Oreochromis niloticus: one gene and its partners. The protein of the gene in region 3 interacts with the protein of the main gene of each other region in a pairwise test. Links are inferred from orthologs where the notes say so. Each region holds a gene or a part of one and is shown on either strand. Other genes may lie near its edges.

Region 1 (7,408 bases), on a different chromosome or scaffold from region 3:
ACCTCCCAAATCAGGCAACCTAGTCGCCACACCTCTCCTGCCCTGTAACAAAAATACACACAGGTCAATGCAAAAGGGTGCAGCCAAAGAGCACCAGGTAGTTTTCCTCTAAATGTCACACTCACCATTTCTCTCCACTGCTGTTAGACATCTCCGGTGGGTCATATTTCTCCATGTCTGGGTAAACTGCCTTTGGTGCAGGGAGCGAGACCCCACTTGGGTCTCCCTGCTCAGGGACCACATGGTCGAGGGCTCCTAGCTTCCACTCTCCAGCTCGATCCACAAAAACAGCCCATATGCCCAGGTTGTTATGGAGCAGATGGCAGTCATTGATGAGAAAACTTAGAGCTTTCTGTAAGCAAACAGAGGTAGAGACGGTGAGAAACGACTAATAGAGGACAGCTGCCACAAACAGCTCAACTCTCCTGTCCTTACCACTATCTGGTGGAGTCCCCATGAGATCTCCAGTTCCCCAACACCACCCTTCTCTGCCCGTGCCTTCAGATGGACTGCCAGGGGTGTAACCTGCTCAGTAACCAGGTAGAGGCTCTTCTCTGTCTGTAACAACCACACCAAGCTCATCAATCAACTAAGAAAGGAAAAAAATAAAAGCAAAACTATACTTCAAAACTATTCTATGTCACTGCATTAAAGAGTAACTTGACATAGGAAAACAGCTTTTCCACACCAGTTTTTGCATTTATCCATCATATGCACAGCACATTTATACATCACAGCATTTTTCCATCAGATCTCTATTAAAAACATGCTATAAATTAATACTAAATTTACTGAATATTGGAGAGTTCAGATCACAGATATTTTAGAAGAAAAAGCGACTACTATTGCTTTGCTGGATATTTGATTATGTACCAGTTCTTCCACGTGCTCTGTTCTTGTCTACTGACTGTTTTTCCTCCGCTTGATTGTATTGTTTTCCAACCTTGTCATTGTGTACTTTCATTGCCAGGTGTCTTTGTGAAAGATGTTTCCTCTCAAAAGACTTCCTGGTTAAATAAATGATTAGCTAATGCTGTACGGTTTGCTGGTCATATTCCTTGGACAGATTCTCCAGATGAAAGGGTAAAATCATATTCTTAGTTGAGCTAATAGTGAATAGTGTATCAATTATACTCTCATTAAAATCCAAAGAGAAAGCTCTGTAATTGTCTGCTACTTCACTCACTATAACTACTACAAAACTACTACAAGCCTACAGGAGCCTATTCCCACTCACCTCTGTCTTAATGTTTAATATGCAGAGAAGAGCAGATGACGGAAATGAGACACAACTAATTATATGACAGTTACAGCAAAACATGGAATCTCAGCTCTAAATATCAAGAAAAGTGTGTTTAAAGAAAAGTGGTTTCTGTTAAATTTAAGTCACAATAAAATACATACCTCCAACCCATCAACATAGGCCAGGATGTTAGGGTGACGCAGGGTCTTCATACGCTTGAAGGCAGCCTTGGCGAGCTGGGTCTGCTGCTCTGTGCCCTGAGCCACCTCGTATACAAACACAGACACTGGCTCTCCAGTGGTCTGAGGAGAAAGATTGGAGTAAGAGCAGCAAGTTATAATTACTCCATCACTCTTAATTAAGTCAATATTTTGTGGGTGTAGTCCAAGTCTAAAATTTTACTCCAACTTGAGTATGCATGTTACTAACAGACATCACTACTTGCATGTCATTTAATTTTGTGTCTCTCCAGTATTTTCTGTTTTACCCTGTTCTCTTTATACTCTACTTTATCCATTCTCTTCTCTTTTTCTTCAGCTTTAACTGATCATGGCAGATGGCTGCCCCACCCTGAGCCTGGTTCTGCCGGACATTTCTTTCTTCACACTGTAGCCAAGTACAGCACACAGGGGATCATCTGATTGCTGGGTTTTTTCTCTAATATCATAGGGTCTTTACCTTACATTGTAAAGCACTTTGAGGCCACTGTTGTTGTCATTTGGCGCTATACAAATAAAACTAAATTAATCTGAAGTAAAGCTATCCTCTGCAAACAGACTACTCCCATTTTCCTTCCATTGTAATATATCACTGGTGTTATAGATTTACAGGTAATATTATTATAGCTATATTTAAGCAATTATAATGGGAAAAAAAATCTACATTCACCCTACAATCAAAATTCCAGAAATTAGGGTAAATTATGTACTAGCTTAATTTACACCAACGCTCCCATTTTATCGGACTGATGTGAACAGTATGGTGGCCTTACATCTGTGCTGTATTAAATATAGATATAAATGTAGCCATCGTGCAGAAAATATTACCAGTAAGCAGCAACTGTCAATACTGTATACAGAATTCTGAAAAGACATTTAATGTGACTGAGGATGATGAAAGTAGGAAGTTTGGGCTCGGCTGCCCGCGGTGAAGATGATGACACTGAGATTATAGCTTTCCGCTTCTCGGTGATAATAATGAAGCAGTGGGTTATATGCAGTGCTGTCTGCAGTTAAGACGGAATCTTTTATTCCTGAAATAAAGCATTAACTTTAAAACAGCTCAAATAAGAGCCGTTACTCGGCTAAAACGGGTGACGTGGCGAGAAATACGTGTCTGCCTCCGGGAGTAAACAAAAAGCCTGAGCTAGGCTAGTCAGCGACAATTATCAGACAGACAGACAGACCAAGCAAAAAATAAAAAAATAAAAATAAAAAAAATACATGACTACCAAGACTGACTGATTGATTGAATGAATGAAAAACACCCGAAAAACGCTAACAGAGCTGACATTTAATCTGAAGGCTAAATCAAGCTCTAAAGCTGACTTGTCAGCTTATTGGCAGGCCCCATAACCGAGCGAGCTAACGCTGACTGCTAGTGCATCAGCAGCAGCAGGCTGCCGCTTTTACCTTTCGCTTTCCCCGGTGTAGAGTCCATATTCCGGACTTTTCTTGGCTGTCTGGGAGAAGTTCATACGCAAAGTCTTTCACGGGATCCCTAGCGAAAAAGGACCACATCTCCCCTTAGCTCCGCACTTCATCAAACAAACAGCGACAGGTGAACTACACAGTGCTGCTAGCTAGCGACTGGCACGGATGTAAAATGACTCCGCGGAAACGTCGTTTCTGCCTATTAGTTCCACAAGAAGTTAAGCTTACTCAGGTTGCTGTGAAAAAAATATATATAAAAGACTTAATTTATTATGTATAAATTCCCCTCACTCGTTCTCTCACTAAATTAAAGCCTCAAACTGAACTTTGGGTAGTAATAAAATAATGTCGATGAAAACAACGTCACCTGTCCAAAAAACGTTTACAATACGTGTAGCAAAATATAAACTCAAACGAATACTTTTCTATTACAAATTAAAACGTGCTTCACAGGGGCAACCAAACTAATTAAATCCTTAAAAAAATATGAAGGGCAATAAAGTTCCATAAAAATATGTGTTCTTAGACGTGCCTTAAAGGAAGTTACTGACCATGCCAAGCTGATTTCCTTGGTCAGAATCAGAGCCATCTACCGCTAAATCAGTTTGACTTTTAAGATCTGATAAGTATGAAAAAAAAAAAAATCAAAAGTCAAAGCTGACATCCTTACTCAGCGTATGTCTCTGATATATTTTTTATAAGATAATTTTTTGAGTGTTGCCTTTTATTAGATGCAATGTAAATGTGAAGAGAGCAAGTAAACGTAGTGCACCTTTTTTCAGCTCAGACAGGACTTGGACCATAAACCTCATCTGTTAAAAACAGAACAAATAGATCAAATACATTATTAGTGTGCAAAAAGTCTTGGGCCACTCTTTGTTTCCTTATATTTCTCTACAAAAATAGGTATATGTTACAAAATTTTAATTCTATTTTAAGAACTACACATATACATTGAAACACAGCTTATGAGACAAAAACAGATTTCTGTACATTTCTAATGCACATCTTTATTCTTCAACACAGCTTGAACTCTCTTAGTCAACTGCTTTGTCTTTTACTGCATTGGCAGTTTGTTTGGGATCATTGTCATGCTAAAAAATTAAGCTGTTGCCAATCAGATGCTTTCTATGTACAACTGCATATTAAATTAAACTGTGATGACACTTTGTCTTCATATTTCCATCAGTTTCGACAAGAATTCCAACACCACTGACTGAACTGCTGCTCCAAACCCTGACACAGCCTCCACCGTGTTTTACAGATGGCTGTAGACCAGGGGTGTCGAACTCCAGGCCTCGAGGGCCGGTGTCCTGCAGGTTTTAGATAACACCCTGAGTCAACACACCTGAATCAAATGATTAGTTCATTACCAGGCTTCTGGATAACTGCAAGACACATTGAGGAGGTAATTTAGCCATTTGAATCAGCTGTGTTGGATCAAGGACACATCTAAAACCTGCAGGACACCGGCCCTCGAGGCCTGGAGTTCGACACCTGTGCTGTAGACCCTCACTGTTGTACCCCTGAGTACCTATTTCTGATGAGACTTTATCAAACAGTGAATGGATCATCTGAAGGGTCTGATGATCTCTAGAGTCCAATTTTAGGTCTTTGCTGGATTGTTTTTATTTCTTCAGAATGTGACTTTAGTCTTCATCTACTGTGGATATTTTCTATGCTTGAGATGACTTCTTTTGTCCTCCACTTGTCCATTTTACAAAAATGTTTTAAAGATACACACAATGCACACCATTCTGAGTTTTTTTAAAAGTACATTTTATGTATACGAACCAATTCACAAAAACAGTCACCTCAATACACATTATATCGTAATGTAGAAACTCTACAATATATACAAACCATAAACTTCAACAATCAGATGACCCGTTACAAACAATGGTGGGAAGGAAAAACACCTTTTTAACAGGAAGGGTAAACTGATGCAACCTTAACTATAAGCTTTTTTTAAAAAGGAAAGTTTTAAGCATAATCTTAAAATACCTTGTTAATGCAAAAATATTTTATACCTCTCAAACTGTTATTTTCAGTAGATTCAATGAAAGAAACAAATGTGATTTGTCACAGGCCACAAGTAATAAAATACCCAAGGATACAATATGAAATTCTTTGTTTGCATATTTGTGTGTAGTATGAAACATTCCCATGTATCCAACTAATTAAACTGTTTAAGGTTTGACATCACTTTCCTTTATTGCCATTTGCCTGATGAGCATGAAAATAAGTTAGTTGAGGTTGTGACACACCCCTCCCCAACAAAACATAGCTGAAGTCTACAAATAACTTTTCCTTATTCATACCTTCTTTTAAGCTTGATCAGACATCCTGCTCTTCAGTGTCATTCAATAAAAACACCCCCCCCCCCCAAAAAAAACAAACATACATGTATAGTAAAATGCTACTTTAGAGGTTTTAATTGTTCATGACACTGTACATAGTCATCTCATAGAAGAGCTGAGATCATCACATACAGCAATAGCTGGACTGTTTTATGCTGCTGTACTAAAGTGGATCCAGAGCAAGGATGACTTGTTGGATGCCTGCTGCCCTCAGGTCTTCTTTCCTGACCTCCCCTCTTCCATTTGTTATCATGTGATAGGGACCTCAAGAAGGGTAGTGTCCAGGACACAGACTGCAAAAGGAGGTTTATAAAACTGTTGCCAATCATCACAGGACATCTTGGATACAATGTTGAGTATTCTTTGTCCATTATGCCCACCTCATCAAGTCATTTACAGAATATTGATGCAATTATTTATAGAACAGAGACAAAAACAGAGACATGGTTTTAAAGTTTTATTGATCATTTCCACTCAAATATTTTCCCCACCCAGACATTGTCCTTTTATGGAATGCATATTTAAGTCGAAGTGTTATTAAATATACTTTCAGCCCCACAAAGCTTATTTAAAAAAGCAAGACACCGCAGGGAATTGAACCCCGTCCCGACAGAGTCAGGAGTGCCACCACCGGAGTCTTTTGCTTTTTGTTTTTGCTAGTTAGGGCAAAAGCAAAACCTGGAAGAACAAAACAATTTGTTCTTCCAGGAAAAGAAAACCCGACACCTGGATGCTAATTATGCTGTCACCACACGGGGATTCTCTTGGTCACGAGGCTGAAACTAGAACAGAGAGAGACATCTGGTTTCCCCAATCCCCAAAATTCCCCACAGCGACACTGTATTGGTGTATTATTCCACGAAATCCGTTTAGCCATAATAAAGCCACGATACCAGAATCCCTTGTCAAAGCGATTTTCCCTTCTGCAATTCAGCAGGACTCGCGGGTCAACTGACAGTGAAGGCTTTCTTGCCAATTTTATGGCTGTAATGGGAAAAAAGACAGACAATTTAAGCCCCCCCCACCCCACCCAAACCCCACACTTGTACCAAGACTCATCCAATATGATGGGAGATTGAATTTATCAATATGGTTGTAGTTTACCACAGCTGATGCAGCATTTACCACAGCTATTCTTCCTCTGATGCTCAGCTCTTCAATGTATTAAATGAACCCTAGAGGCTGGCAGTACCAAGTGATCCAATGACTCCCTGCAGACCTTTAAGCTGTCTGGTTCAGTAGCAAGATAAGCTGAATGAGAAATCTGAAAGGGAGAAAGAAGAGTGTTTGCGCCCCCCCCAGACCCTCCTAACCATAATACTACTGCAATGTTTGACAACGACTTTATGAACATTGTTTTACAAATAAAATGTTATGCATAGCTGATGTGCATGCAACATGTTGAGTTACACATTAAAGCCATGGTATGTTAAAGAAAAATCAAGGGAACCGAAATTACTTAACTTAGCACCCACGAGACTGAAGTGATGCAGTATTAGCGAAAACAAGCTTGCAGCTCTTGATCTTAATGTGACTGGATTCTCAGTGTTCCATCACAGGTTAGGCCATCCCAGATGAAAAATTAAGAATTTGGGGTAATTTGACCTGAGAAACCAAAGGGAAAGAAAAAGGCACACAAACACAGAGCGGGGGCTTCTGCGAAGGACGTCAGGGGTTCAGATTTAAGCTCAAGCGCACAGGGGATTGGTACTTCATTCAGGGGCCACACTCATATCGCTGACAGCTTCCACAGATGGCTTTGCATTCAGAGGCAGGCGAGATCGGAGTGGACAGACGAGAATGATCTGAAACAAAGAGTGATCTACACAACACACCCACCACACAATACTCAAAGATTCGGGTTCTACTCATCTTATGGTTTTAAGATGCAAAGCAATAGGGCCCCAAGGCCAAAGAGGAATAAGCTAGTAAAGCATTGTTACTGATGATTTGAGGTTAACATAAAGCCAGTTCCAAGATGTCATTTTGTCAACTACAACATTGCAGAAGTTTTGACAAGTAAAGCCAACAGCTTACTACATGCTCCGGGTTAGGACTTGACTCGTGCTTGTACCAGTCTTGCACTGTGAGTTCTGTGAAGAGAAGTGTAGGGATACGCCCAACCACAACCATAGCACAAAAGAATCTAAGGC
Region 2 (6,940 bases), on a different chromosome or scaffold from region 3:
ACTGCAATCTGCAATCTACTGACATCTAATGGTGAGATTTTACACGCTGTAACTTTAATAAAAATAGAAAATAATAAGTCACCTCCTCTACATAGATGACATCAAGGTGTATGCCAAGAGTGAATGAGACATTGATTTACTCATCCACATCACCAAGATATACACCAACAACATCAGAATGTCGTTCAGACTGGAGAAATGTAGTCGGATGATAACAAAGACAAGGAAGGTAATCAGAACTGAGAGGATCAAACTACCAGAAGGCAACATTGCAGACACTGAGGACAGCTACAACTACCTGAGTATCCCACAGGCAAATGGAAACCATGAAGAGGCCACTAGGAAAGCTGCAACCACCAAGTACCTGCAGAGGGTCAGGCAAGTCCTGAGGAGTCAGCTGAACAGTAAGAACAAGATCTGGGCCATCAATACCTACGCCCTGCCCGTGATCAGGTACCCTGTTGGGATAATAAGCTGGCCAAAGGAGGAGATATAAGCCACTGACATCAAGACAAGGAAGCTCCTGACCATGTATGGAGGGTTTCACCCCAAGTCAGCACACTGAGGCTGTAAGCTAAGCAGAAGGAAGGAGGCCGGGGAGAAGTGAGTGTCAACACTATGGTCCAGGATGAGACAACGAACATCCATGAATACATCTGGAAGATGGCCCCCGTGTGCTCAGTGAATACCTCAGGCAGCAGAAACCCAAGAAAGAGGAGGAAGAGGAGGAACCATCATGGAAGGACAGGCTTCTGTACAGTATGTACCACCAGCAGATAGCGGAAGTGGGTGACATCCAGAAATCCTACCAGTGGCTGGACAAAGCTGGACTGAAAGACAGCACAGAGGCACTAATCATGGCAGCACAAGAACAAGCTCTGAGTACAAGATCCATAGAGGCTGGGGTCTATCACACCAGGCAAGACCCCAAATGCAGGCTGTGTAAAGATGCCCCTGAGACAATCCAGCACATAACAGCAGGGTGCAAGATGCTAGCAGGCAGGGCATACATGGAACGCCATAACCAAGTGGCCGGCATAGTATACAGAAACATCTGTGCCAAGTGCCGAATATGGCCTGGAAGTCCTGAGGTCAAAATGGGAGACGCCCCCAAGGGTGATGGAGAATGACCAAGCTAAGATCCTGTGGGACTTCCAGATACAGACAGACAAAATGGTGGTGGCTAAACAACCGAACATAGTGGTGGCAGAAGAAGACGGCCGTAGTGATAGATGTAGCGATACCAAATGACAACAACATCAGGAAGAAGGAACACGAGAACCTTGAGAAGTACCAAGGGCTCAGAGAAGAGCTGGAGAAGATGTGGAGGTTGAAGGTAACAGTGGTCCCAGTGGTAATCGGAGCACTAGGTGCGGTGACTCCCAAGCTAGGCGAGTGGCTCCTGCAGATCCCAGGAACAACATACAACATCCGAGATCTCTGTCCAGAAGAGCGCAGTCCTGGGAACAGCTAAGATACTGAGCAGGACCCTGAAGCTCCCAGGCCTCTGGTAGAGGACCCTGCAGGGGCGAGAGGGGATATATAACAACAGTTAAATGTCATTCATAGGTTTTTTTCTCAGCATCTCAGGTGATTTACCAAAGTGCCCCAATTTACCTGAGTTCACCCTTGCTCTTTTGAAATTATGCTATGTTAAAAAAAATCATATTGAGAAAATTATTGCAAAATATTCACCAATACAGTCAGAATTAGGTTGATAAGTAGTTGAACAATTGCACAGTCTTTTGTAATTTTGCTTCTGAACACCAGTGGACCAGCGACTGATGTACAGGCTTTAATTTAAAGGGTTTTACAAAAGTGTTGTATTAACCATTCATTACTGAGACATTTCATTTTAATGTCAGTCCCCCATTTTATGGTTCAAAACATAGTTGGACACACTAACATAAACTTAAATGTATGAATTGTCATTAATGAGTGGATGAAAATGATTTCCATTCAATAATTACCTTGAGTCTATAAGTCATAGGCATCACTAAATGCTGTGCCGGATGTTTACTACAGTTGCTGCTTGTTTGTGGGTTTCTCTGCTTTAATCTTTGTCTTCATTCACAAAATTACATTAAATGTGTCATTGTCCAAAAACATATTAATCTAAGTGTACACCTATGATAGATCAATATCAGCTGAGTATATTGGATAATTGCTTGGTCAGGATCCATGTATTGAGTATAATTCATGCACAGCTGTTGAACATGTATAATGAGAATCACTGGTTTTGGGTTATTGTCTTACTTGTAGTGATGCAATACTATATGTCAATACTGTACTGAAAACATATTCAGCTGATCCCACCTAAAATCAGTGTTGTAAAAACTGAGTTCCTTGAGGCGGCCTTATTCTTTTCAACACTAAGATAATACATTTATGGATGAAAATAGTAAATACTCATGATGGGCCTTCTGGAAATGAAATATTTACTATGTGAGTCCATCCATCCATCCATCCATCTTCATCCGCTTTATCCGAGGCCGGGTCACAGGGGCAGTAGCCTAAGCAGGGAAGCCCAGACCTCCCTCTCCCCAGCCACCTCCTCCAGCTTATCCGGGGGAACACCAAGGCGCTCCCAGGCCAGCCGAGAGATGTAATCTCTCCAGCGTGTCCTGGGTCTGCCCCGGGGCCTCCTCCCGGTGGGACATGCCTGGAACACCTCACCCAGGAGGCGCCCAGGAGGCATCCTTGTCAGATGCCCGAACCACCTCAACTGGCTCCTTTCGATGTGGAGGAGCAGCGGCTCTACTCTGAGCCCCTCCCGGATGGCTGAACTTCTCACCCTATCTCTAAGGGAGAGGCCAGCCACCCTTGGGAGGAAGCTCATTTCTGCCGCTTGTATCCGCGATCTCGTTCTTTAGGTCACTACCCACAGCTCGTGGCCATAGGTGAGGGTAGGGACGTAGATCGACCGGTAAATTGAGAGCTTCGCTTTTACACTCAGCTCCCTTTTCACCACGACGGACCGGTGCAGCGTCCGCATCACTGCAGCCGCAGCACCAATCCGTCTGTCGATCTCCGGCTCCCTTCTCCCATTACTCGCTAACAAGACCCCGAGATACTTGAACTCCTCCACTTGGGGCAGGAACTCATCCCCGACCCGGAGTGGGCACTCCACCCTTTTCCGGCTGAGAACCATGGCCTCAGATTTGGAGGTGCTGATCCTCATTCCAAAACTTTTAAATGAATACTTTAAAAACGGCTGAAAAAAAGGGGTTCAGAATAAAGCAAATTCCAAATTGTGTGGTATTCTAGGCTGTGTCCATATAGAGGTCAAGCAAAATAAACCAGAAACCCTCTAAATCTGCTCTGTTTCGGTTCATAAAGTCTAAAATCCTTACATCTTATTTAGAAGCACACTCCCAGCTCTTTTAACATGGCATGCTCATTGGGTTTATGTGGTCATGGGTCTAAAGAAGAATGAAGAGGTTTGGAAATTAGGCTTAGACACTCAGAAGCAAATCAAAGGCCACAGAAAAAGTCTGGTGCACAGTGGTGAGGGAAGTGCAACACTAAAGCAAAGAGGAGGATTCTATATTATAAACAACAAGATTATTTCAGAAATATGACATGTAGATAGTGCAGGGAATTAATACAGAAAAAGAATATTTTAACTTAGATTGAATCTTGCTGGTCTGTGTGAACACTGTTAGGCTGAAAAGGAGATCGCTCTTTAGACTAAAATGAACCTTAAAGTTGTGTGGACATGTTTAATGTTCTTTAAGAGACACTATTTATGGGCGAAATAAAATACTGTATAAAATAGTTTGTTTTGTTTTGTTTTTTTATTTTGTGTGTGTTTGTTTTTCCTTTTTTGTGTTTTGAGTCATTGGACAGGATTTGTACAGACTGCAATTCACATTCCGAAGCAGAGGTGGCGCTAATGCAACCTCAATGATGACATAACCAACAGCGCAGGAGCCAACAGCGCAACGCTGTAGAGCGGAGGGAGAAGAAGAAGCGTTCCATTTCGGGGTAAACATGGCTGCTTCTGCTGGTTGTGATCATTACATTCGCAGCTGCTTATTGAAAGTGAGTGAAATGATTTAAAATATGTTCGTACATTTGCCTTACATATACGGTGGAGGCAAATAGGCTTTGAATATGCCAAGTTATAACTGTGCTATAACGATTATGTCGTCGGTATATCTCTGCGAGAGACTGTCATAGTTAGCTAGCTAGCTAGTCATTTAGTCTTCAGCCGGTAAACGCCGCTGTAACAGGATTAAATAATAATGAACTTTTTGGACGGCATGATTTTGTATAATATCTGCACGGCATTGTTGAAGCGAGGGGCTTGAGAGTTTCTGGAGCTTTTCTCGCCTCCTTCCCTCCGGTCTTAGTCCTTCGCATCATAATTACGCGCGGAGGAGACTAGGAAGCTTGCTCCCTCTCACATTTGGAAAATAAGAAGAATGAGAGTTTATGTATCTAGCACAAAAGAGCACAAAACTGAATAGAATTTAAAATTGTTGCTTTCCTAATCGGTTGTACTTGACCTTGACAGAAAACGTCAGGGGGGAGGTCAAGGAAAGGCGTGGAGAATTAATCATTTATTTTATATACACTTTAATTACGTAACCTTTACACGCTGTTTATATTAAAATCTTTTACATTGTGTCCAAATTTTGATGTACAGATCTATTTAAAGTGTGTAAACAGCCTACCTGACATTGATAAGTGGATGACTCATCTTTATATTTTCAAACAGCAGGGAGAATGTACTTTTTTTTATGTCTTGGAGCCAAAACGTCTGATGCCACATGATATCATGTCCTTTTGTACCCAACACGTGACAAATATATTTTATCCTCATGTCCTCACTGCAATATCAGAAATAACACATTCTTAAGTCTGCTATTTAGTATATAGCTATCAATATAAATTGAATTAACTATTCTAAATGTTAATTGAATTGCAAATAACATTTACAACACAAAATATTGCGAACTTTCAAAGTAGTCTGTGCATTCAGAACAGTGGTAGGATACCTTTCATATCCGGGAGGACTTGTATATGTGCATCTTACACACACACACACACACAGACACACACACAAACACTGAAATGCACCAGGGGCTCAGATGCTTATGAACCGCTTAACCCCTCTATTAATTTCTGTTTGAATCGCAGTTCATTTAGAATAAATAGAGCATACATTTTTATTAATTTTTGGTTTGTAGTTAAATTGCAGATAAAAGTGCACCGATTGACCTGCCAACGACGTGATCAGCCAATTTTTAACTAATTATTTAATTAATTTATTTATTTATTGCATTCTCAGTCCCAACCCACGAATGGCTGGTCAGGCTCATCCATGCACACTCACAGCAATATGCTAATGTGTCATTAGTGTGGAGGCTCCTCACTGTGAGCCAGGACGTTTATAACAGCACGCCTAATCAGACACTTGATTAGTAGCTGAACATGGACATTTTAAATAACTTTTTAAAAAAAAGTGGCTAAAGCTAAAGCTGTTCAGAGTTCAGTCAGCTAGAAGCCAGCAGCCTGGGTATGAGAATCCAAACAGCTCCAGTTATCAGGGGAATTTATAAATGTTGTTTTGTTATATAGCATCGGCTTTTGTTTGATAAGGTAAAATATGTAAAATAAAGGTGGGTGTACCGCAGCTAATTGTTATTTAATTATTTGTACTTCTTTCCAGTAGCAGAGCATTTTTTTTTTTCAGTTGTTTAATAGAGAGGAGCTCCTGTAACGTACTGCTGTTTGGGAGAAATCTTAAAGTTTTATCATATATGCACATGCATATAATATTTACAGACACACACACAATTGCTGTGACAGTGTCAAGCTTCCTCTTGAACTTTGTCAGCACTGTTTAATAAAGAATTTTCAGAATAAGGATTACATTTAGACACACACACACACACACACACACACACACAGCAGCTTAGTGAGTTATTGCTACAGCTACACAAACTGTGATAGGACTACTATACCCATCCCTGTCTGTGCCCTGTGTAATCGCGTTTCTGCTGTACTGCAGGCACCTTGCTGCGGTAAACTGTATGTGTGTCGGCTGTGCCACGATGCAGAGGAGAACCACCAGATGGATCGATTCAAAGTCAGAGAGGTGCAGTGCTCAGCGTGTCTGAAGGTGCAGCAGGTAACTGAGGAAAAGCTAGTTAACGTGTTTGAGCTCCACCGTCGGTTACAGCAGGACCTCTCGATGTCACCTTAGTGCTTGAGTTGTACTTTTGATTATGGTTAGCTCGGATGAAGGGAAAAAGCTGTACAAATGTTATACTTTTGTAGACACAGCAGACTTGTCAGCAATGTCATTTGCTGTTTGGGGAGTATTACTGCGACGTTTGCCACTTGTTCGACAAAGACAAGAAGCAGTACCACTGTCAGCCCTGTGGAATCTGCAGGTAAGAAACTGATTTGATATATGTTTTAAGTGTCTAAATATTTCTATGTGTAACTTTAGTAGTAATAATGATACAGGTACTGGGGAAATGTCTTCTTAATGTTCCCCACAAAATTTTCCCATTTTCTTTAATAATCACAATGTTGTGTTTTGTTGTGCTGATATTTCACTGTTCACGAAACACGTGATGGCAAAATTAGTCATTTAGTGAGTTTTCAAATGTGCCTCTACAGGATTGGGCCCAGAGAGAAGTACTTTCACTGCGAGAAGTGCAATTTGTGTTTAGCTCAGGAACTGCGAGGAAACCACAAGGTGACTATTGCTGTGTTCCTGACTCACCCACATCTGTCTGTATTTTGAGCCCTCACAGTTTTAATTTCCCTTTATTTTTTATGTTTCAGTGTGTTGAAAATGTTTCAAGGCAGAACTGTCCTGTCTGCATGGAGGTAACAGCATTAATGGGATACAAGGCGAGGAGGATGTTGGCTCTTTTTTTAATCTATTTTCTCCAGAGTTTAATATATATTTCTTTGTTTT
Region 3 (7,166 bases):
TACTATCCATTCATACGAGGTATTTAGATGCTTCCTCCACCTCTAACCTTAAACTGCCTCTACAGGTCATCTCAGTAATGAGCCATCTGGTCCTTCCTTCCTAATCAGCTATCCAAGGCTGTCTCATCCTCAGCCCAACACACTTTGAGCCCAGAGTTATTCTCTCCTTGCCATCTGGCCTCCATACCCAGCTCTGTCTTAACTCTGTCGGCGATTTATGCCCTCCTGAGGTGTTTCGCCTTTTAACTTGCACATAATTGGCCCCCAGGTGAAAAAAATGATGTGAATGCCAGTTTTTATTAGTTGCCAGGCAGGGGTCATTGTTTTTACACCATTCTTCTCCTCACCAATGACAAGGAAAAAACTGCCGTTACACTGGCTAAACGGAAAACCCTGTGCTATGTAAAATTCAAATCATAATGAGTACAGTAAAGCAATTAAAACCAAAAATGTGGATCCAGGTCTTTTCAGGGCAGTTCTGAAATTCTTTTCTTGCCCTGCCTGCAGTCAACAGGCCACTGCATTCACCTTCACCATGACTCACTCATTATATTATATTCAATTCAATTCAATTCATTTTATTTATGGAGTGCCAAATCACAACAGTTGCCTCAAGGCGCTTCAAATTGTAAGGCAAAGGCCCTGCAATGATAGACAGAAACGACCCACTCTGAGCAAGCACTTTAGCGACAGTGAGAAGGAAATAGGTACTCCTTTTTAACAAGAAGAAACCTTTGGCAGAACCAGTCTCAGAGAGGGGCAGCCATCTACCATGACTGGTTGGGAGCGATGGGGGAAAGACAGAATAAGAGGCACACTGTTAAAGAGGGATTAATAATAATTAATGACTAAATTCAGACTGGTGTATAAAACACAGCGACTGAAAAAGGTGAGTGAAGAAGAAATACTCATCAAGGCAACAGCCTAAACCTATTGCAGTGTAACTAAGGGGGGATTCAAGGTCAACTGATCTAGACGTAACCATATGCTTTAGAAACAAAGGAAAGTTTTAAGCCTAATTTTAAAAAGTAGAAAGCGTGTCTGTCTCTCAAGTCCAAACTGGGATCTGGTTCCACAGAAGAGGGCCTGAAAGCTGGAGGCTCTGCCTCCCATTCTACTTTTAAGTAAGTCCACAGTGTGAGAGCGAAGTGCTCTTAGGGAATGTTTGAGATTAAAAGGAAGGTTCAAGATTGGCCTATAACTAAAGATAAACATAAGATAAAGTCTCCTTAATTGTCGCTGTACTTGGGTAGTGAAATTGGAGGAGAGCTTACGTTTCAGCAGACTACCATACATACATTCTTACTTGGTTACACTCATCATTCATCCATGAAATTAGATAATACAATAATATAGCAAATATAATAAGATAGTAAAAATAAAAGTATAAGTATACATAAATATAGTTCTGCTAAAAAAGGATATTGCACAGCTTGCCACGCACTCTGGTTTCCCATCAGATTACTGCCAAAGACCTACAGTTTATCCACAACGCACATGCGCAAACTACAAGAGAGAAGCTGCTGGCCTCTCCGCTAGCCCCCAGTCATTGTCAGCTGTGCCTGGATACATCCTCAGCGACAGAGACAATTACATTTTTCTATAAGATTGAATTAAGCACAGCTTTCAGCGACGTGTAAACGATGGATGCACATATTAAGTGAAGGGGGATGAGCTTTATTGCAGCGCTGTCTGAGATAAAAGGAGAGAGATCGCTTTACTTCGGAACGTTTTCATTCATGACTATTTTTAGATTTGACGCTTGTCCTGACTGAACCTGGTTTAATTACTGCCACCTTACAGACATGTGGTATGTAGGCCATTAATAGAAAGACTGATATTTAAGATCAAAGTGTTAATTAATGGTAGGACTTTGAGTGTGAACATGATTGTTTTTTTCTCTAATTGTTAATTTGTTTTTCTTGAAGAAATGTATTAAGTCACAACTAGTTACTGTGAAAGGAAAGTTCAAAAGAGCTCTAACTCTTTGACACCCGGGTTATAGTTCTGAAGAGAAACATGGGGTTATTCTTCATTTCTTGAATCAGTGATACAAGTAAGATGTCCCAGCTTTAGGAAGGCCTTTGTTGTTGTTGTTGTTTTTTGTTTGTTTGTTTATGGAGCAACAAACTCTTTTTCTGGGCTAAATAAAGATCTTCTAATTTTGTGAGATGCCATTTCCTCTCTAGCTTACTGGTTGTCAGCTGTAAGGTGCACGTTTGAGGGACTCAAGTACTTTTGATTTGAAGCTTTATTTTTCAGAGGAGCCACAGTATCAAGGGTCGTATGCAGTGAGGATGTAGCACTACTAATGAGATAAATGACTTCTGGGGTAGTTGTTCTGTACTGTGTCAGCACATGGTATTGAAGAGGGTAACATGCCTACTGTGCTGAAATGTATTCCCCACTGCTGTGTGAATTTTAAAATGTTATTAAGAGAGTATAGCCCTGTAGACTTGTACATCTTACTGAGGTAAACTCTGAATTAATAAATGCATTGCATGGCTGTAGATACTTCAATGAAAGTGTTCTTCATTTGGTGAGATATTTTCAGGAGTGTTTTTTCCCCCAGAGAAGAGAAAAGGAACCTGTAATCATCCACTTCAGTTGCCTTCCATAGCATTCCCATTCATTGAACTTGCAAGTGCATTCTTTAATTTTAGGAACTAATCAAATTGTTGTATAAAGTTCTAAAAGTTTCCACTAGCTCTCAGTTTCGTTTTGTTTCGTTTTGTGATAAATAATGCATCCTAGGATGTGTGTGTGTGTGTGTGTGTGTGTGTGTAAAAATCAATTAATTAGTCAACAACACTTAATGACAGTGTTGGGAAGGTTACTTTTAAAATGTATTCCATTACAGAATACTGAATACATGCCCCAAAATGTATTCTGTAACGTATTCCGTTACGTTACTCAATGAGAGTAACGTATTCTGAATACTTTGGTTTACTTAATATATTATCATGCTGTTTACAACTACGTGAATGTCCTATTGCTGTGATTTATTACTGTTACTGAAGGTCCGCGGCTCCGAACCGTAGTAAAGGGACCTCTGGCTAATACGGTGGGTTCCGTGTCGGGCTGGTAGCCGAAAACTAGCTTTACTTTGTTGTCTGGGTCAACTTTGCTTGCCAGAGACAGAGAGAGGCGTTGAAAGGCTGCTCCAACAGAACTTATTTTTTTCCGGAGGAAAACACGAACACAGTGTACAGTCGAGTCTTAAAATAGCTTACTTACAAATGGGCTCGTCAGGCACTCTTCTTGGCTGCAGTGGTTATTATTATATTTACATGCTTCCAGCTCCCGTTTTTGCTCCGTGACAGCTCGGACTTCCTTTCTCTCCCTCCCTCGCTCACAGACACATAACGGGTATGGTAGTCCATTCTCCCTGCAGCACGGACTACACTGCCCATCATGCTACATTCTTTAGAGCTATGCCTGTAGCACTCTGCCTATTAGCTTAGCACAACAACAACAACAAAAAAGCGCTCTCTCACCCAGGAAACACGCAGAGAGAGAGCGTCACCCTGTAACCATGGCAACCGTAACGCTGCCGCCTGGAACAACAGAACGTAGCTGTCAAACAAACCCAAATAATCCTGACCCGCGACAATATGAAACAGGGAAGTACCGCCGTGTAATCCATTTATTTCAACAAAGTAACTGTATTCTGAATACCACCTTTTTAAACGGTAACTGTAACGGAATACAGTTACTCATATTTTGTATTCTAAATACGTAACGGCGGTACATGTATTCCGTTACTCCCCAACACTGCTTAATGACTATCAAGCCACAAGCACAGAGCACAAGAACATTTTCAGTCTGTTGATCGGGTGTTCAGAACTTTGCCTTTTATATATTTTTTATACCAGTTGCGAAGATAAATAAAATACCTAGAAGCACATTTTAAGCTCATCAACGTATAATTATCTGGAGGATATACTGCTATTATTATTGTTGATTATCTCAATTAGATTTCAAGTTAGTTCGTTCTTCTTCGTTGATTTAATTCAGGCGATATGCAGGACTTCAATTTCGTGGGTCTTTTTGGGGTCCTTGACGTGGCATTAATAAACAAAGATGGCGGTGGCGTTTACACCTTCGTTGAATTTTACTCTGAATTAAAAACTTTGTAGTCTTAAGTAATTGGAGTATTTCCTACATGTGTCTCGTTAGTCGAGTTGCAAAATGAGCGGTTGGGCCGGTTTTTCAGACGAGGAGCTGCGCAGGATACAGCAGAAAGGTAAGTTAATCTTTCTTGCTGCTAGTGAGAGACGAAGCACTCAGCACTTCACTCTGATATTTTATTCCTACTTCTTTACTGTAGTAGTAACCATGGTCACGTGTCCTTTTTCAGACTCTACTGTATCTGCACCTCCAGTCCGGGGTCGAAAACCGGCTTCAGGTAACCGGAGTCGGCAGCAGTTGCAGCGAGAAAGAGCCCTGCAGTCAGCAGCCCAAAAAAGCACAGGAGCCGAGTCACTTGTTCTTTCACCCGAACAACAACTCACCAAACCGTCCCCGAGGGAAGAGCCTAAACCCACAGCCCCGGCGACAACACCCACTGTCAAACAAGAGGTGCAGCAGGAGCCCGCTATAATGAAGCCCAATGAAAACGACCAACCGACAACAGAAGAAGAAACCCCAGTGGTTAAAGAGCTGGATAAGCAAGAGATTGAATTGTTAGTATGATTTTGTTCTCACGTGCACTGTAAAGATGACAGGTACACTGACCAATATTTACATAGTAGGTGTAATACCAGGGTAGCAAACATGCACAAACATGCATTGTGTGTTTTCATGCACACGCTGGGCCATTCTGTGCTCTTCTTTGAGACTGTATCAGAGTGAATCTAAATATACAAATAGATCCAACATTTCTTGGACAAAAACACATTTTTTGTAGTTTTACCACAAAGGATTTTAAAACAACCAAGATGTGATTGAAGGGCAGATCTTCAGCTTTGATTAATTATCATCAACTGTTTAGAAACCGTACCCATTTTTATGCATTGTCCCCCATATTCTAAGGCTCAAAAGTATTTGGAGAAATTTAATTTTAAATATAAGGATAATTTTTTATAAGTTGAAACAGTCTTCCTGCATATTTTTATCTTTTGGTCTTTCTGATACAAATTCATGTTGATTTTATTTAGCGAAAGAATTAATTTTCAGCATTAGGCAGTCTCTTTCAGATGGGTTTTTGGTAAAGTCTATTCTGGTCTTCTTGTTCTTGAATGTAACTAGTAGTTTGCACTTGCTGTAAACCTTGGCATTTCCCCACATAAAAGTACCTCTTGATTTTAGACTTTGATAATGATACCCACCTCCTCGGGAGTGTTCTTGACTTTGTTAGAGGTATGCAATGTCCCCTTTATAATGTAGTACCGAATGGGTTATCACATGACTCGTCCGGCCAGGAAATGTTGACATTTTTGAATGTTGACATTCAGTCGTGACATTGATTTGAGATCATATCAAATCAGTTAATGCGTCTAGTTAATGCAGTCTATCTGGGTGAGAAACAAAACTTTAACTTACCACAGTAGATGGCTCCTCTCTGCCCTACTTTGCTGCTGGATGCATAGCACTCATCAGTGCTGTATCAATGTTTAGTTAATGTTCTAGTGGAACATAAAAGTGATGGTTGTGGAAAATAAACGCCTTTGCTTCTGTATAGACAAATCATTGGAAATTATTGATTTCCAGCACACAGGACTTGTCAGGGTATCCTGTCATTGTAACAGTGGCTGTGGATCCTTTGGTTCCTGTGGGTTTCCAAAATATGGCCTCTATGGAACAGACTTCTTTCAGATTTGGAACAGATTTAGATGTGGGTAGTTTGGGAGACCTGCAAAAACCTCTGGGTTCTTTGTCCTGCTCCTTTAACGCTTCCTGAGCAGTTTCTTTACACTGTAAGGGTTGAACAGTGTAAAGAAACTGCTCAGGAAGCATTAAAGGAGCCCACCCCCTCACGGAGGGGGTGGGCCTTGGTTGGCAGTGTTGGTTGGTGGGTGATGTAGATCAAAGCGATAACCAAAAGAATGATGCATCATTCTTGTGGATATCTTTGGCTGTCAAAGCAATCATAGTATATGATCCATGTGATTTGAGTGCTGTATAAATGACAGTGCTGTCAGTCTTGTACATGTGGCTCACATTTCAGTTAAATTTATGCATACTACCTCAGCACTGTCCACATCTTACTCAATTTCCCTCTGGGATGAATAAGGTTTCTCTGATTCAGATTCTGATCTCCACCAGATACTTGGGGAAAAAAGGGAATCAGAATATCAACACACAGTGATTAAATCTTACAAATAATAATTTGCCAAACCCATACCATAGGGTGCTGTTGTGTTTGTAAATTTGAATTATTTTGAAAGACACTGTTCCTTTCATAATGCTGATGTTTTTTGTTTGGTCTTTCTGAGATGAAATTGCAAATGTATTTGTTTAAATTCTCATTTTGTGTGATGGCAGACGGGAAAAGACACGTCTGGAGCAACTTCAGCAAGAGCAGAAAATCATCGAAGAGAGAAACAAACGCAAGAAAGCTCTGCTGGCAAAAACTATCGCTGAGAAGTAAGTATATGTAGTTTGGTGCTCCCTAGAATACCAAGTCAACATGATGAATATAAATGGGCCTCAAAACTGCAAAGATTAAGGTCAAGGTAAAAACAACAAAAAAACCCCAATATGTATGAATGGTTTATTATTTTCCACAGATCCAAACAGACTCAGGAAGAGACTGTAAAGCTAAAGAGAATCCAGAAAGAGCTGCAAGCCCTCGACGACATGGTGTCTAATGACATTGGCATCCTGAGAGGAAAGATAGAGCAAGCCAGTTGGGACTACACAGCTGCAAGGTAGACTTAACATCAGGAAAAAAATATTTAAAAAAGTGTCAGTAAACCTTTTTCCACAGCTGACATGAATTTGTTACAATACTGAAAGCACAGATGGTTTTTGATGACTTCATGGCCCACCGGTACACTTAAGCCCACATTCACACCTGGTACCTGTGATCCAGTCACCTTAGTTAGGTCACACCTTAGGCATTAGAATGCATCCACACATGCATGTCAGTTGACCAGTTGAAGTGTCACTCTCCACTAGGGATGAATATTGACTAAAATTTCCTTGATCCCAATGCAAGTGGC

The links.
Region 1: the proteins of gorab (region 3) and scyl1 interact in a two-hybrid assay, tested with the Homo sapiens proteins (2 studies listed by BioGRID and IntAct). The link is inferred for Oreochromis niloticus from reciprocal best matches to the Homo sapiens genes GORAB and SCYL1.
Region 2: the proteins of gorab (region 3) and rchy1 interact in a two-hybrid assay, tested with the Homo sapiens proteins (3 studies listed by BioGRID and IntAct). The link is inferred for Oreochromis niloticus from reciprocal best matches to the Homo sapiens genes GORAB and RCHY1.

What each region holds. Positions count from the first base shown.
Region 1 is NC_031966.2:20,985,051-20,992,458, reverse strand, and holds the start of scyl1 (N-terminal kinase-like protein), read right to left. Parts: upstream 3,100-7,408; 5' UTR 2,983-3,099; coding exon 2,875-2,982; intron 1,546-2,874; coding exon 1,405-1,545; intron 590-1,404; exon of another isoform or gene 583-589; coding exon of another isoform or gene 559-582; coding exon 436-558; intron 353-435; coding exon 126-352; intron 43-125; coding exon 1-42. UniProt on the Homo sapiens protein: Regulates COPI-mediated retrograde protein traffic at the interface between the Golgi apparatus and the endoplasmic reticulum. Involved in the maintenance of the Golgi apparatus morphology.
Region 2 is NC_031977.2:6,682,117-6,689,056, reverse strand, and holds the start of rchy1 (RING finger and CHY zinc finger domain-containing protein 1), read left to right. Parts: upstream 1-3,901; 5' UTR 3,902-3,993; coding exon 3,994-4,044; intron 4,045-6,019; coding exon 6,020-6,139; intron 6,140-6,288; coding exon 6,289-6,404; intron 6,405-6,636; coding exon 6,637-6,715; intron 6,716-6,804; coding exon 6,805-6,849; intron 6,850-6,940. UniProt on the Homo sapiens protein: E3 ubiquitin-protein ligase that mediates ubiquitination of target proteins, including p53/TP53, TP73, HDAC1 and CDKN1B. Mediates ubiquitination and degradation of p53/TP53; preferentially acts on tetrameric p53/TP53.
Region 3 is NC_031981.2:24,514,989-24,522,154, forward strand, and holds the start of gorab (RAB6-interacting golgin), read left to right. Parts: upstream 1-4,060; 5' UTR 4,061-4,191; coding exon 4,192-4,246; intron 4,247-4,360; coding exon 4,361-4,685; intron 4,686-6,486; coding exon 6,487-6,588; intron 6,589-6,731; coding exon 6,732-6,872; intron 6,873-7,166.